Linked DNA regions of Lytechinus pictus. The protein of the gene in region 1 binds, or shares a complex with, the protein of each later gene. Links are inferred from orthologs where the notes say so. Each region holds a gene or a part of one and is shown in the gene's direction. Other genes may lie near its edges.

Region 1 (7,899 bases):
TGAACATTTTTGCAGAAGCTGGACGATTTTAAATGCGGAGCCTTTTCAGTTTATGAAAATAATCCGTTTTTCTTATAGTGCTTATCACATCAATCGGAATGACGTCTCTCTCATATTCGCTTCTTATGTATATTCTTACTTGCTTGTGTGTTTGTGTGTGTGTATATAATATTTTCATGAAATTGTTGATCTATGTATTCCGTGAGCAGTTAAGCGAATTTTACGATATTACAAATCTAAAATAGTTTAAAATATGAATTGCTTATTATTGTGTGTCAAAATAGATATAGATATAATGTAAAAGAAATCATCTTCAGTACCACCGAGTTTTCTAATGATTCATTACAATTTGAAACTGGAGTTCAACTAGCTGAAAAGTGACTGGTTGTTTGATTGACTGATAGATTGTTGATTAAGTGATTGATAGCTGAATGGTGATTGAATACTTGATTGAGACTGATTTATTGGTTTATTGATTAATTTATCGATTTATAATTAATTGATTGATTTTTGATCAAGCAATTGATAGCTGAATGCTGATTGCATTGTCTATAACACGGTAGTGATTATTTAGTGATAGGTTGTGATCGTGATCGACTTCAGATGGAGTGTCAAGTTAAAATTCAAGTTCGTCTTTATATATATCCATATTGAAAATTTGTTTTGAACACAGTTCTTTTCTAAGTAACATGACAAAAAGAGAGACTTATGAGGTAAATATATAGCCTGAGTAAAAATTATTTGCGTAGACAGAAAGTATTATATTAAAAATGCAACCTTGAAGCCAAATCGATCCTTTTTGTGTTTTCAATATCATAAAATTCAGGCGAGGTCTTAGCCCTTAGAAGGTATGCAAAGCGTCAATGCAAGATCGAGTAATGGAATTCGGAATGATGGATATGGTATGTGGTCTTCATATTTTGAAGGGATCGAGACCAATGAATATGGAAGATATAGTACATAAGCACACCCTGGAAGAAAGGGAAAGATGGAAGGAGAGAGGGAGAGAGAGAGAGAGAGGGGGGGGGAGAGACAGGGGGAGATAGAGGCGTATATATAGCCTTTTGACTGGGCAAACTTAAATTAAATGTGTGGGCCATTTTATAAGGAAGCCCCCTCCCCCCCCCCGTGGGCACATATGCACCGAATTTATGAAGATAAACTTAATGATAATAATGAAAAATCCAGATTGGGAGATATCTAAAACTTTGCTATATAAAAGTGGCAATCGGAGAAATTTTCCCCATATGACTCTAACGGGACTTGCACTGGCATAAAAATGGGGCGATTTTTTGGATGGTTGCCCCCAAAAAAGGTTTCAAAGACTTAAAATGAGGAGACAAGTAAGCAATTGAAGAAGAAAATGGTAAAAATGAAATTATTTTCTCGATATAAAATATGTCAAACTTTGTCACAATATAAGATTTCCATTTTAGATTGATATTGTTGCTAGCTCGCTTCCCTAGCTTGGGACTTTTTAGACCCCCACCCAGTACGCCATTATTCTGTCCGTCAAATTACGCAATGCTGATTTTTATGTTTTTAAAGGACAAGTCCACCCCAACAAAAAGTTGATTTGAATAAAAAGAGAAAAATCCAACAAGCATAACACTCAGTGGCGTAACTACGGGCGGGGGGCATGGGGGTGGGGGGGGGGGGGGTCGATCGGCTGGCCAAAAAAAAAAGGAGAAAAGAAAGAGAAACGTAGTGGGAAAGAAGAAATTATTGTTCTTTATGATTTTATCATTACTATTATGTAAACACAATTTGCTCAGGGCCTATGTCTTCATTGTTCCTGGTGCTCGTATTGTCTGTTTAACGAGATATATAATCCTGTTGTGCTAAAACCTTCCGTTTTCAAATCAATATACTCCAAACATATTTCCTCGCACTTCGAGTTATTATTGTTTTATGTAGTGACATATGCTTCTTTTTCATGACAACTAAAGCGATTGCCCCACTCTAAGGTCTTCAAATAAAACATTTCCTTCCGTGCTCACGTTTGCAATAGTGGATTGGTGAGGTATGTCTGATCTTCATGAATTCCTAAAATCAGTCCTTAATTAATGTCCCTTTTTCTGATCTGAATATCAATTAAAAAAATTTCAGCTCGCGCTTCGCGCTCGCATAATTTGGTTAGTGAAATGCGTATGGTCTTAGTGAATTCCTACAAACGAGCCTTAATTAGAATGTCCCTCTTCAGGTCTGAACTTCCTGAATTTTCAGCTCGCGCTTCGCATTCGCAATATTTGATTTGCGAGATGCGTATGAGAATCATGATTACAATGACTATAAAAAGTAATTCATGTGTTTAGATGTAGTTCTAGCAAAATCAGCAAGCGCTTGGCACTCGATTAGATGACTATGGTGAGATATGTATACTCTTAATGGATTCCTTAAAAAATAGCCCTTAAAATATGCCTGTATGGGGTAAATGTATACAAGTTCAGCTTGCGCTTTGCGCTCGCGTTGTTGTTTAGCGAGACAGGTACGTATCATAACAAAAATTAGCTTTAAAGGAGAATGAAACCCTTGAAACCAGCTGAATCCATATCAAAGAGAAAAATCAAAGAAACATATTGTTGAAAGTTTGAGGAAGATTGAATGAATAATAAGAAAGTTATGAGCATTTGAATATTGAGATCACTAATGCCATGTAGATCCTTCCTGTTGGCAATGCAACCATAAGATCTGTGATGTCACACACGTACAACTCCCTCATTACTTTAGTACTTATTTCCCTTATATTCTCACTTTTATAGAGTCTATCACAAGGTGAGGTGTTCTCTTTATGAGAGGACAAGTACAGAGGTTTCACAACATTATATCATTGATGAATCGTTTGTCATATGATTAGAATAAGCAAAAGGAGATGTTTTGGGGTATATTTTCAGCGTCCAAAAGGGGAGAGTTGTTCATCTGTGACATCATAGATATTGCTCGCATTGCCAATGGGAGGATCTCCATAGCATTAGTGATCTCGACATTTAAATGCTCATAACTCTTCTATTGCTAGTCCTATTTTACTCAAACTTTTGTTGATCTTATTCTTTGATTTTTCTGCTTTCACAAAAGCTAACTTGCTCCAAGAGTTTCATTCTCCTTTAATGTCTATTTTTAGGTCTGAATATCAAAAATTTTAAGCTTGTGCTCGCATTATTTGATCAGTGAGATACACATTCGTTTAATGGCATTGCGCCGTCCTTAAAATGTATTAGGTTAGTATACTCACACTGAGTGACTCAAAATTTTTGCTGGTGCCCCCCCCAATGCTGTGACCCACGGTACGCCACTGATGACACTGAAAATTTTATCAAAATCGGATGTAAAATAAACGATTAATTCCTCCCTGAAAATGCGGAATTAGCATTGTTTAATACTATATGGTTCCCTCAGTTAAGTTGGTCCTTATTGTCAAATCTATGAAAAATGAAATATTATATAATTCAAACAATAAAAAACAAAAGAAATAGTGAGTGATGGACATCATCGACTGACTGACCTAGTTGTGCATGTATATCACCGTGTTTTGTGAAAAATAAGCGAAATTTTAAAATATCAAAACTTTCTTATTTTACATCCGGCATGCCAGTTTGATTTTTTTTACTTATTAAAGTCAGCATTTTCCTGGGGTGGACTTGACCTTTAATAAAGTAAAATGGTAGAGTTAAAAAGGGAGAGATTATTGTTAGTATTATCATTAATTTTTTTTAATTATTGTTATATAGGTGGATCCAGGGGGCCAAAGCAGTCGCACTTCCCCCTATATTGGCGGGGCAAACTACAGGGAAGGGGGGGGGGGGGGGATTAGGCCATCGAATCAAATTGAGCATTTATCTCGCCCTTTGTGCTCGCATAGCCTAAAATAGATTTTTAAAATCTGCTCAAGAGGATAAAGGTAGGCCTATAATTATGTAAGAGTAAAATATTCATTCCAATGTAGCAGCTTATATAGTTGTCTAAATTATATATCACTAGACCTTGGGTATATTCAGGCAGTGATACAACCACCATGACCACATGACCATATAATAACAATACTTTAACCAAATGAAAACACCACCATCAGTGGCAAACAATAGATTCCCTCAGATTAATCTTCCTCCCTTCATTAGTTCGTCTCAATCCTTATTCATTACTCTTTGTTCCCTACATCTTCCAGACCTGTCCTTTGTTCTATTTCATTTAGTTGTCTACTCATGTACAGTCACAATAGATAAGTCCAAAGGGGTAAACACCTCCCCTCAGAGTATAAATTAGAGGTGCTTGATATTCTCTAGGTTCTTTCCTTAGTCTTCGGACTACTACTCCATAAGCTTGCGCTCCTGCCCTTTGAGGCCTTGATAGGGGAGTGCCCGAGTTCTCAACAAGCGACTGTTCATTTATATATATATATGTCTGCGTGATTAAATATCATCTGAACTTTATATACTTTGAGTTGGATTCCCTTATTGAAGTCTTACCACTAGCTAACACTCATCCATACCTACCACGCTACATTTAAAGAGTGTTACAATTATATGATTCCTGTTCATGATTGAGCGGTGCTGGATCGATATAAAAAAATTGATTAGTGAAATATATTTAGCTTCTTCAATGATTCAAACAAACTTGTCACAAATATGATTCTTTGAACTCAACTGGCACTTTTTAGGCATTTAGTCTATCGACTACTAGTATATGCGGCTCTAATCTAATGGTCCTTATTACAAAAAATATATATATATAAAAAATAGCTGAATTATTTGTCTTATGTATGGTTACATACTAAGTAAGTCGACTACATTACAATTGCTAAATTCAATCAAATATTGCATGAAATATACGGTATCACTGAACTAGAGATACGTATTTACGTATATACGTACATGTATTTCTAGTTCAGTGTACGGTATACGGTACGCGTAAATCTAAGCTGAACATAGCCAACAATCTTGGTCCTTACACGAATCTGTAGTGTAGCTGTCCATACGCGACTTCATCACCATGTCTGGCAAAAAAGCAAAGGGGAAATCCGACAATTCGTTGGAAAAGGAGGACGTTCTCCAAGCAGTTGTTATTGCAGATAGCTTCAATACTAGGTTTTCTCCTGTAAGCCTGGAAAAACCGCGAGTGAGTATCTGCTTATGCCTACAGATACAATAATTTTTGGTAGAATTTGTAAGCAGCTGGTGTGTGATGCGTGCGGATGCGGTACCGTATACGGTACGGTACCCGTACGTAGTAGCCGGCTTCAGTCCCCCGGGCTCGGGCCGTCCCGTCCCAGGTGGGCCGTGGGTAGACAGCTGGCAGCCGTCTGTTTCGAGGAGTTTTTTAACATTTTTTAATTTTTTTAATTTCTCCTCATACACAGACGGCTCGCTATCGTGCAGCCACCATTAGGGGACTTACAATGCAAAATCCCCCCGTCGGGGCTCTTCAATTTTTGTCTTTAATGAATCAAACTTTTGAAAATTAACGCGACCGAAATGCAAATTAATATTCCCTCTTGGCATTAATTGCCAAAAAACGGGGAAAATCAAGTTAAAAGGAACAAAAACAGTGACTTACCTCGGCTGTCGCACAACTTCACTGCCCTGTTTTATCCAAACTTAATACACATAAACATATGGCCATTGAGTCCCCTGTACAGATCGCGCTAGAACTTCGGTCTCTGTATTTGGTGAGTGAAGCCAACGGAGTTCAGCTGAACAACCAACATAACAGAGACAGACTGAAGCTTTTGGTCTAGGCCGTGGGTAGCCTGGGGCCCGTTTCTCAACACATGGACAAGTTACTTAGTCATATCTATATCCACCAACCACGGAGTTAGTTCCAATCTTACTAAACCTGTTTCTCGAAAGGCTTCCTAACTTATAGAATACCTTGATATCGATACTCGGTAAAAAGAGCAGACGAGACGTAGCCTTAGACTTTTAGTCACAAAATAGCATCATTTTCAAAAAGAAAAATTATGACAAAATTGCAAATATTGTGATGAATTGGGAAATAAATCTTTTCAAAATAATAGCACAGGTGAATTATGCATCATACATACTTAGGCCATGAAGACTGGACCATTCAACATGTTCAATAGCAGTGAAAATTGATTTATGAATAATTCATTTCATGACTAAAAAATCACTTGTTGTGGATGTTGAGATGGGTACCCCCGGGATATCAAATTTTAATAGTTTACGAAAGTAAACCATAACGATTTTCTATGTAAAATGATGATAATTATACGGTCTTTTATGACTCCGAAAGTCATCAAAATTATAGTTTAACGAAACATTTTTTAATAATTGATACCGAAACATACGAAATTTGACAAATTATATGCATAAATTAGAGATAGAATTATCCAACTGTTAATAGGGGTCTGAAAACAACTAATACGAGTTCAGTTATGGATGGCCTGACGTGGTAGAATCTTTATCGATTAAATCATTTTACTATTTCAAAATGAATGGTTCTGTGGCGTTTTGTTATTACCAACAGTTTTTATAGTTTCTTTGTATTACAATTATCATTGAATGCATTATCCCACTTGTTTTGTGATGTAATTTCAACCTCTATGATTGATTACGTAAGATTATAATTTGAAAATTTCTAGGCACTTTTGCATGTCAGTCTACCCACGTGATGCCATACGTCATTAAGAAAGAAGTTATGACAGGTTCGGAGGTGTCATAAATATTTAGTGAGGTTGTACCCGATCTTGGTAAAGAGGGCTTCGTGAAACGGTTAGCAGACAAGTAGCTCACTATCTCCGATTTAGTCAAGAAGTTAGACTTATGACGGTGTTGAGAGACGGGCCCCTGGAGGCGTCTGGGGAGTAAAATTATTTCTACTATACGTAGGCTTACTCCCCGTGCATATTGCATTAATGAACATGCATACCAACGAACGTAGAGGGCAGCAACACACTTCAGTGTTGCTGCTGTCCTCTACGTTCGTTGATGCATACATGCTACTAGTACGGGCGACCAAGCGTTCCATCACCGTAGTAACGTGATGTGCACGTGAATATTGCTTTCGCTATGCATGGAAATTTCCAGAACGAATTGCGCACAAACGCTGCTGGGAGAGCTGCATTGCGTAAGTAGTATGTAGTGTTGTACTTATAAATTTATTGTGGGTCCAATCTGGTAAGGTGTGCGATCGCGATCGGTAGGCTGGTTTCACAGAGCTTAATTTGTGCAATTCCTAGACTGGATTTTATAGATTGTATTATCAATTAGGATGCTTTTGGAACCAATTTTTTTATACTTTAAAACTAAGATTTCTCACCGAATTCACTGTTTTTTTCAAAACTGTGTTTTCCGCTTTCTACCCCGGTTTCCGCGATTTCCGCGGAAAATCCGCAAAGCGGAAAACTTAGGGCAGTATCTATGGGGAATGGTTGACTTTGATATCATTACACCTTGACATTCATATTCTATTAAATAACAACTCTAGTTACCTGCCATCCATGTAGGAACTCAGTTTCTAACCACATCTTTTCATTTTGTTTATGTTTGAAGGCATTGCTTCCTCTGGTGAACTGTCCAATCATTGACTACACGCTGGAGTTTCTTGCAACCAACGGTGTTCAGGAAATATTTGTCTTCTGCAGTTCACATTCCAACCAAATCAAACATCATGTTGAGTAAGTTTATTTTCTGATCAATTTTTGCAGGTTAATTTAATATTTAAAAAAAAATATCTTAAGAGCAGTTTGATAATCAAGTCACATTCAATATAATTTGTAATTAAACACAATCTCATTCTCATGTTGTCATAAAGTAGGAACAAAGTTGATATAATTCCACAAGGGGCTGTTTCATAAAACTGTAAAGTTACATATGACTTAACAAATGATAAGAATTTATGTGAAATGCTAAAATTTTGTTCTGAAGTTTTTCTTAAATTTGAACG
Region 2 (6,964 bases), on another chromosome or scaffold:
TTATGACGAATTGACGACTATGATGATGACGATGATGACGATGATGATGGTGGCGGTGGTGATCGTGGTGATATTGGTGGTAGAAGTGGGTTTACTGCTGCTGCTGCTGCTGCTGCTGCTGCTGATGTTGATGATGACGACGATGGTGATGATTATGATGATGATGCTGATGATGACGACGACAACGATGTTGACGATGAGGGCATCAATGATGATTATGCCGATAATATTATTATGTACAAATTTCTGTTCTTGGCATTGACTGGTTTGACAAGTTAAGCATCTAGATATCCATTACGATGACATCACGGAGGCTTGTGCCTATTGCATGTAAAAAAAATACCAACTCCCGGAATCCGCATCCCACCTCAACGGGCCATCCCCATCTTTTCATCTCACGTCCTTTGTACATTAATCTTGACGTTCATGGGGGGAGTGCGTGAAACGAATCATTTGACTAAATGAGAAATTATTCCATGCGTGGATATAGGCCAATCTGAATAGGTCAATAACATCTACGTAGAACTAGGTGAGGGCCTTCTCAATCACAAAATGGAAGCCGATAGTTTAATATCAAAGCAAACTATTATTATGTCAAAGAATGTGTGGTCTGTGATATAATTTGAGATAATTGATACAATGAGCCTCAACTGAATGCTATACGCCGATTACAGCCAGTGTCGTAGTAATCGTCTTTCATTTGAAAAGGAATTTAACATGTACGACATAACGATTTTTATCACTTTAAGAGCATTAACTGAACAAGAGGAGAAAACAAGTGTTTTCTAGTTGTTTTTGTTTTTCCTTTGCTTAAAGTGATGATTTCCATGAATTGTCAATCTATATTTTAACTTGACTTGTGACTTCGTTTTTCTTCTTGCATCACTTTGAAGAAACATAAAACATATTTTTTAATGTCAAGAATTAAAAGCATCGATCAATTCATTTTTTATGCAATTTACTCCGATTAGGCCTATGCTTTAAAAACGCTTAAAAACAAAATACAATAATAATTGTTGCTTATCTATAGTGATAAGTTTATAATTTAGTGGGCTAATTGGAAATTAGGAGCAGGTTTCTTTGCCCCCGCACATCATGCGCTCAGAATCCATTTGGTCACCCTCTTTGTTGGTTGGGGCCCCGATTCGTTGAATTGAGGGCCCCATGGGCACGAGCTTGGGCCTATTATCTGCTTGTTGTCCAATCTACTGCAATGGTGTTGTATTTCAGAGGCCATAGCATGCCCAAAGATAATAAGAGAAAATTTCACAGACATCATCAGTTTAAACGGGCGCGACCGACCGTACGACCGGCCTGCCATGTTTCCTAACCTACATTCCCATCCATCTCAAATAGCGCAAATAGCTCTGAAGCAGCGGGACACTCTACAAGAACCGGTGTAGAGTTGCCGGGGAACTGCCCCGCCATTGGACTGTCGATAATTGGCAAGAGACTGCACCTGCCGTCGACAGTCACAGAAAACCCCCGTCGAAATGTGAATGTCCTGCAAATGAAATATCTCGGGCATGAGGACAATGACTGAGCTTACAAAATCGGGGGAAGTGGGGGGGGCGCGTTTCACAGAGAGTAAAGTGTGACTTAGCGTGCAATTATAAAACGCATTTATTTGTCAAATCATGCTGACGACAAAAGCATGTTTTTCGTCACACTTAAGTCTTTGTGACCCCCCCCCCCCCCCAGAAAGGGGAGGGGGGATTCACACGGAGGGAGAGGGGCGGAGGGTGATAACATTATACTAAAATTAACGATTCGCGAAGTTTATTGATTCAAATTTACCATATCAAAGGACAAGTCCATCCCAACAAAAAGTTCTTTGAATGAAAATAGTGAAAAATCCAACAATTTTAATGAAATTTTCAGCATTCTGCTTGTTTGAAATTTTTTCTATTGATTCAAATCAACAATTTTCTGGGGTGGACTGATTGATTGATTGATTTTATTCGTCAAGAATATCACAGGAGATTACAATGAAATTGAGGAGATACCTTGACAGGATAGCCCATGAAAGCCGAAAGGCTTATTTCCAATGGGGTCCTATAGTTAGTATAAAACATTAACATATTGTAACAAAAAATATAAACTACGACAAGTACTGGAATATTGGGGGAAAAAAATAAAATACATACAAACATATCCATCAGTCATATAATTTGCAAACATCTGAAGCAAACAATAATCTTCCTAATATGTGAAACAAGATTATATTTTAACATACCCTAATGTATACATTATCTACAATACTAGAAACCAACTGTACAAAATGTGTTATTTTACTGGTAATGCTGTTCTCGGGCAGTTTCCAGTTTTAGGTGATTTTTTAATGCACTCTTAAATTGACAAAAGAATTTAACGGCTTTTATTTTATCAGGAAGAGCATTCCAAGATTGGATGCCATTAAAATAAAAAGTGTTTCCAATATGTCCTTCACGTTTTGGTAATACGAAATTAAAATTACTATTTCGAGTATCGTACCTATGGATATTTGATACCCGGGTGAAATTATTTGCTATATAATGATCTAATTTATCCGAATAGAATATTTTATGCACGTGGTGTAATACTAATTGTTGTGACCTGTGATCTACATGAAGCAATCCTGCCTTTTCAAGTTCATTATATCCGACATGTGCTCTTGGTCCTAAAACATTTATATATCTCACAATTTTATTTTGAATTATTCTTAGCTTTTTCTTATCCGTAACACCCAGACTACCGTACCAAGCCGCATTAGCATAGTCGAATAAACATTGTATTAACGCAAAGCATAAAATACGTCTAGACTTCATATTCAAACAGGTTTGATATCTATACAAAAATTTCAAGCGTGAATTAGCCTTTTTGGCGATTGAGTCTACCAGACCCGTCCATGATAGGTTACTTGTTAAATTAATTCCCAAATATCTTACTGAATCTTTTCTTTCAATTACCTGATTATTATATGAAACCTTGAAATCGTGTGTATATCTTAACTTTCGTTTAGAACAAAATAAAATGCTTTCCGTTTTCCCAACGTGTAAACTAAGCTTGTTGTCAGTCATCCATTCGATGCAATTAGCCAAATCAGCACTAAGTTTTTTATCAATTATCTTGGGATTTGTATCCGAATATAGCAAGACACTATCATCAGCATATAAAATGAATTTAGATTCGTTAATACAAGTACACATATCATTGATGTAAGACATAAAAAGAATGGGGCCTAAAATGCTTCCTTGAGGGACTCCGCATTTAATAGGCAGTGAATCAGAAAGAACCGTCTGCATGGTAACTACCTGATGACGGTTAGATAAATATGATCTAAACCATGTCACACATGCAGAGTCTAAACCCATCACTTCTAATTTCTGAAACTTTAGACTTTATCTTTAAAAGTCTAATACAACCGAAATTAGCCCAACATTGACAATTTCCTTATGGTAAAAAGACACACGGTAATATGCAAATAAGGACGAAAGTATATAACAAATTGAGACACCTTTGACTGAGTAAGACAATAATTGGGATATTTTACACGTCCAATGAGGAGTCAAACTATGTTGCACAATCATATTGGAGGAAAATTGGCATGATTTACAAAAGAAATATGTTTCAACAATTAACATCTATTTTGCTTTTCATCGTGTATGGTAAAGATCGGTTAATATCTTATACTTGTACGCCTCCTTGTGATATTTCTATTGAGAGTATGTAGATCTATTTCAAAATTTGTAATTATGTCTCTAGCTTTGAGAGGAGCAAGCCATCCTGCCAGGTAGGACTATCCGGAATCTCTCCTAGTCTCCCCCCCCCCCCCCGTTAACTCCGCTTGGCATGCTCTCCGCTTTATCGCTGAATATACTGTTTTGTTTTGTGTTTTGTTTTTATTCATGAGTGTCGACAAATTATTCTGTATGCAGCTCTTGAGTTGCCTGATCGATTTTTTCCCATTTGCTGCGCCGCGTCAAGAACACCCTAATTTATCATTAATGGTCGAATAATTTAGCGAGATTTCCGACGGAGTCTGAGGTAAGACAGTGGTATATTTTCTTGCTTTTGATAATATGGGAATACTTTTGGGAAATTTTTAGCTCAGGAATGTGTATTTAGATCAATTTTCGCATTTTTTAAAAGCTTTTTTGCTGTTTCAATATTCAAAACAAACGATGTGGTCGAAAATATGGTGGAGTGGGAAACAAAGTCCTGGTCTTGGCATGTGTCCCATCTATTGACTTTTATGTACCGTTAAGTAGTTGGATATTTGGGCGCTAATGCAGTTTCGCACCGGCCGATTACCTAGCCGTGAGGAGTGAGGACTCCGATATTTTTTAATATTTTGACATATACTGCTTCATCGTGGAGCATTGAACCGCATCCCATATATGTATAAGAGACACATCAAAACAAAGATGGATTTCCCTAGGAAATCCAGCTTTCTACTAATAGATAGAAATCACATAAATGTTTGTGATTTTATTTATTTTTACTTCATACGCCGCGCCTAATGCATAACAAAAAGGTGAAAAATTGAAGGTGTCTTGCCAGACCGATCTCATGTAGATCCCTCGATCCGTTTTTCAACAAAGCAATTACAATAGGTGTGATCCTTTAACCGCTTCGTTATGATGTACCTTCGATTAGCAATGTAAAATGCCGTTTTGAAATTGAATTGAACAATTTAGTGATAAAAATTATTATTTAACAAATACTAAAAGTCAACATGTGATTAAAAATAATTATTATAATAACTCACCTATCACCGGAAAAGCCATGTTTTAAGTAACTCCAAAATCCCTTTGAAAAAATGAAAAGTCAAATTTAGCCTTTAACAGTGTGAAATTTCTGCCATATTTCCAGAGCATGCGGCAGTTTAACTCGGATTTAAAAAAAAACATTCGATGTAAATTTATTTCTGTGAAAAGAAAGTTTAAATAAAACAAATATATTGCAGAAAAGCTGAACATGTTGAATCATGGGCAGGTTACTCAGGACTCTAAACTGAATAATATTTTGCCGAACCGAGCCAAAATACTTGGTTCTTGTGTTTGGTTAATTAAATTTCAGGTTCATTGATTTTGACTTCTGGCTTTGTAATGTGTGAAGACCATCCATGTCAGGGAGCTAGCATAGATAATGGAATACCTTTTTAAAAAGGCAATGCATCACCTCACAATCATGCACTGAATATTAGATCTACATTTTATTCATAATTGCTTTATTAACATCCATATCCTCGCAGCATTTTTATTTTTTCTGTAATCAACTCCTTCCTTCCCACCATTCATGTCATTCTCTGGCTGAGCAGTTGCGTGAGAAGATTCAACATGGAGTTCCAGGCGGTGATCATGGCCGCTGGCCGAGGGTCCAGGATGACAGACCTATCGAACAACATCCCCAAAGCACTTCTTCCAATTGGCAACCACCCTATGATTTGGTATCCGATAAATATGCTGGAGAAGGCTGGCTTTGAAAGTAAGTACATGGACTTCATGAAGTGATCATTTTGAAATCCCACCATTGCAATAACAGTGATACAATACACTACCGGTCACAATCTATCAGTCACAATTCTTTGACTACCTGTTTACCTGTTTCAACCAGAGAACAATAGATTCGGTCCACTGAATCTATTGTTCTCTGGTTGAAACAGGTAAACTGATAGTCAACGAATTGTGACTGGTACTGTAGGTATTATAAAAATTACTAATGGTATAAAATGGCTCTTTGTATTCATGAAAGCAAGACTTATTTCTGTAGAAGTAACATCCGTAGGAAATCGGCAAAGCAGCTCTCCTCCGCATCACACCAAGCTGGTATATAAACAAGTACATATGAAAACATTTATGTCAAAGGTTATCAGTCATAGGGGCTGATTTTAAAGATGACAGATATTGGTCTAGCTGGGATTTGAACTCACAACCTTACAAACATGAGTCCAATGCTCTAACCACACAACCACACTAATCTTATGATATAAATGATGCATCCATTTCATGAATATGTGTTTAGTAAAAAATAAAGGAAATATATGTATCTGAAAACATTGTATAGGTATGACTTGGGAGAAGTAAACTGCTCCTAAGAGATGTAGATAACCTATAAAATGCAGAGCATAATGTTTTATTATTATTTAGAATAATGATCATTTGAATCTCTTTTGCACCCATTCTGACAGGGGTGATCATCATCACACTTGAATCTTTTGGGAAGGATTTACGACAGAAGTTGAAATCATGTGGTGAGACCAAGCTGGAGCTGGACATTGTAACCATCCCCAATGATGAAGATTGGGGCACGGCTGAATCTCTGAGGCACATTAGAGATAAAATCAAGGTAAACCAGCATGAATTTAAGAGTCAAGCCCACACCGATAAAAAGTTGACTCGAAGAGATAGAAAAGAGTCAAACAAGTCCAAAACTGAATATTTCATCGTTATGAGTTTAAAATATGAAAGTTATATCATTTCAAAGTTTTGTTAAACTTCACAAATATACATGTTCTCATGACTTGCTGGCATGGAAATGGCATTGTGACTGATGTACTCACTATTTCCTTTGTAAATAATTATATGAAATATGAGATGTTTCCATTTTGTTGTTATCAGCTTAGCAAGGATGACTTAAAATAGACACACTGTCTTGTAATATCCATTCAACCATCGACACATAAATTTTTCATTCCCTTGTAAGTTGAAATTCTTATTTATTGAAAAAAAGTTTTGCTGCAGTAGCTGCCAAGACCATCCCTCTTCAAATCTGCCTTTTCTCTATTTTTTTTGAATGAATGATTGTGATTGTTTATTGTTTATTGTTAAATTGTAGTTTTACGCACCATGTCAACAATTTTTAGCACTTCTGAAATATCCATAATTATTATTAAAGATTAATGAAGTAGTTGCAGTAAACACTTATTATTTAATGAGAAAGTCTGTAAAACTAAGGTTAATTGACCATATCATTCTAGGTA

Evidence for each region. Proteins that work in one complex are often made in the same cells at the same time.
Region 2: the proteins of translation initiation factor eIF2B subunit epsilon-like (region 1) and translation initiation factor eIF2B subunit gamma-like are in contact, whole or in part, in a cryo-EM structure (PDB 7VLK), measured with the Homo sapiens proteins. The link is inferred for Lytechinus pictus from reciprocal best matches to the Homo sapiens genes EIF2B5 and EIF2B3. Residues at the interface, in NP_003898.2 of Homo sapiens: Pro190, Val202, Arg222, Arg223, Phe224, Ala225, Phe226, Pro227, Leu228, Phe231, Gln232, Ser234, Ser235, Asp236, Gly237, Val238, Glu239, Val240, Arg241, Tyr242, Asp243; in NP_065098.1 of Homo sapiens: Arg155, Phe157, Glu178, Glu179, Leu180, Val181, Ile182, Lys183, Gly184, Leu187, Gln188, Pro191, Arg192, Ile193, Arg194, Phe195, His196, Thr197, Gly198.

Annotation. Positions count from the first base shown.
Region 1 is NC_087249.1:3,461,795-3,469,693, forward strand, and holds the start of translation initiation factor eIF2B subunit epsilon-like, read left to right. Parts: upstream 1-4,896; 5' UTR 4,897-4,986; coding exon 4,987-5,112; intron 5,113-7,505; coding exon 7,506-7,630; intron 7,631-7,899. UniProt on the Homo sapiens protein: Acts as a component of the translation initiation factor 2B (eIF2B) complex, which catalyzes the exchange of GDP for GTP on eukaryotic initiation factor 2 (eIF2) gamma subunit.
Region 2 is NC_087255.1:19,408,444-19,415,407, reverse strand, and holds the start of translation initiation factor eIF2B subunit gamma-like, read left to right. Parts: upstream 1-3,942; 5' UTR 3,943-4,026; intron 4,027-5,302; 5' UTR 5,303-5,321; coding exon 5,322-5,469; intron 5,470-6,172; coding exon 6,173-6,330; intron 6,331-6,964. UniProt on the Homo sapiens protein: Acts as a component of the translation initiation factor 2B (eIF2B) complex, which catalyzes the exchange of GDP for GTP on the eukaryotic initiation factor 2 (eIF2) complex gamma subunit.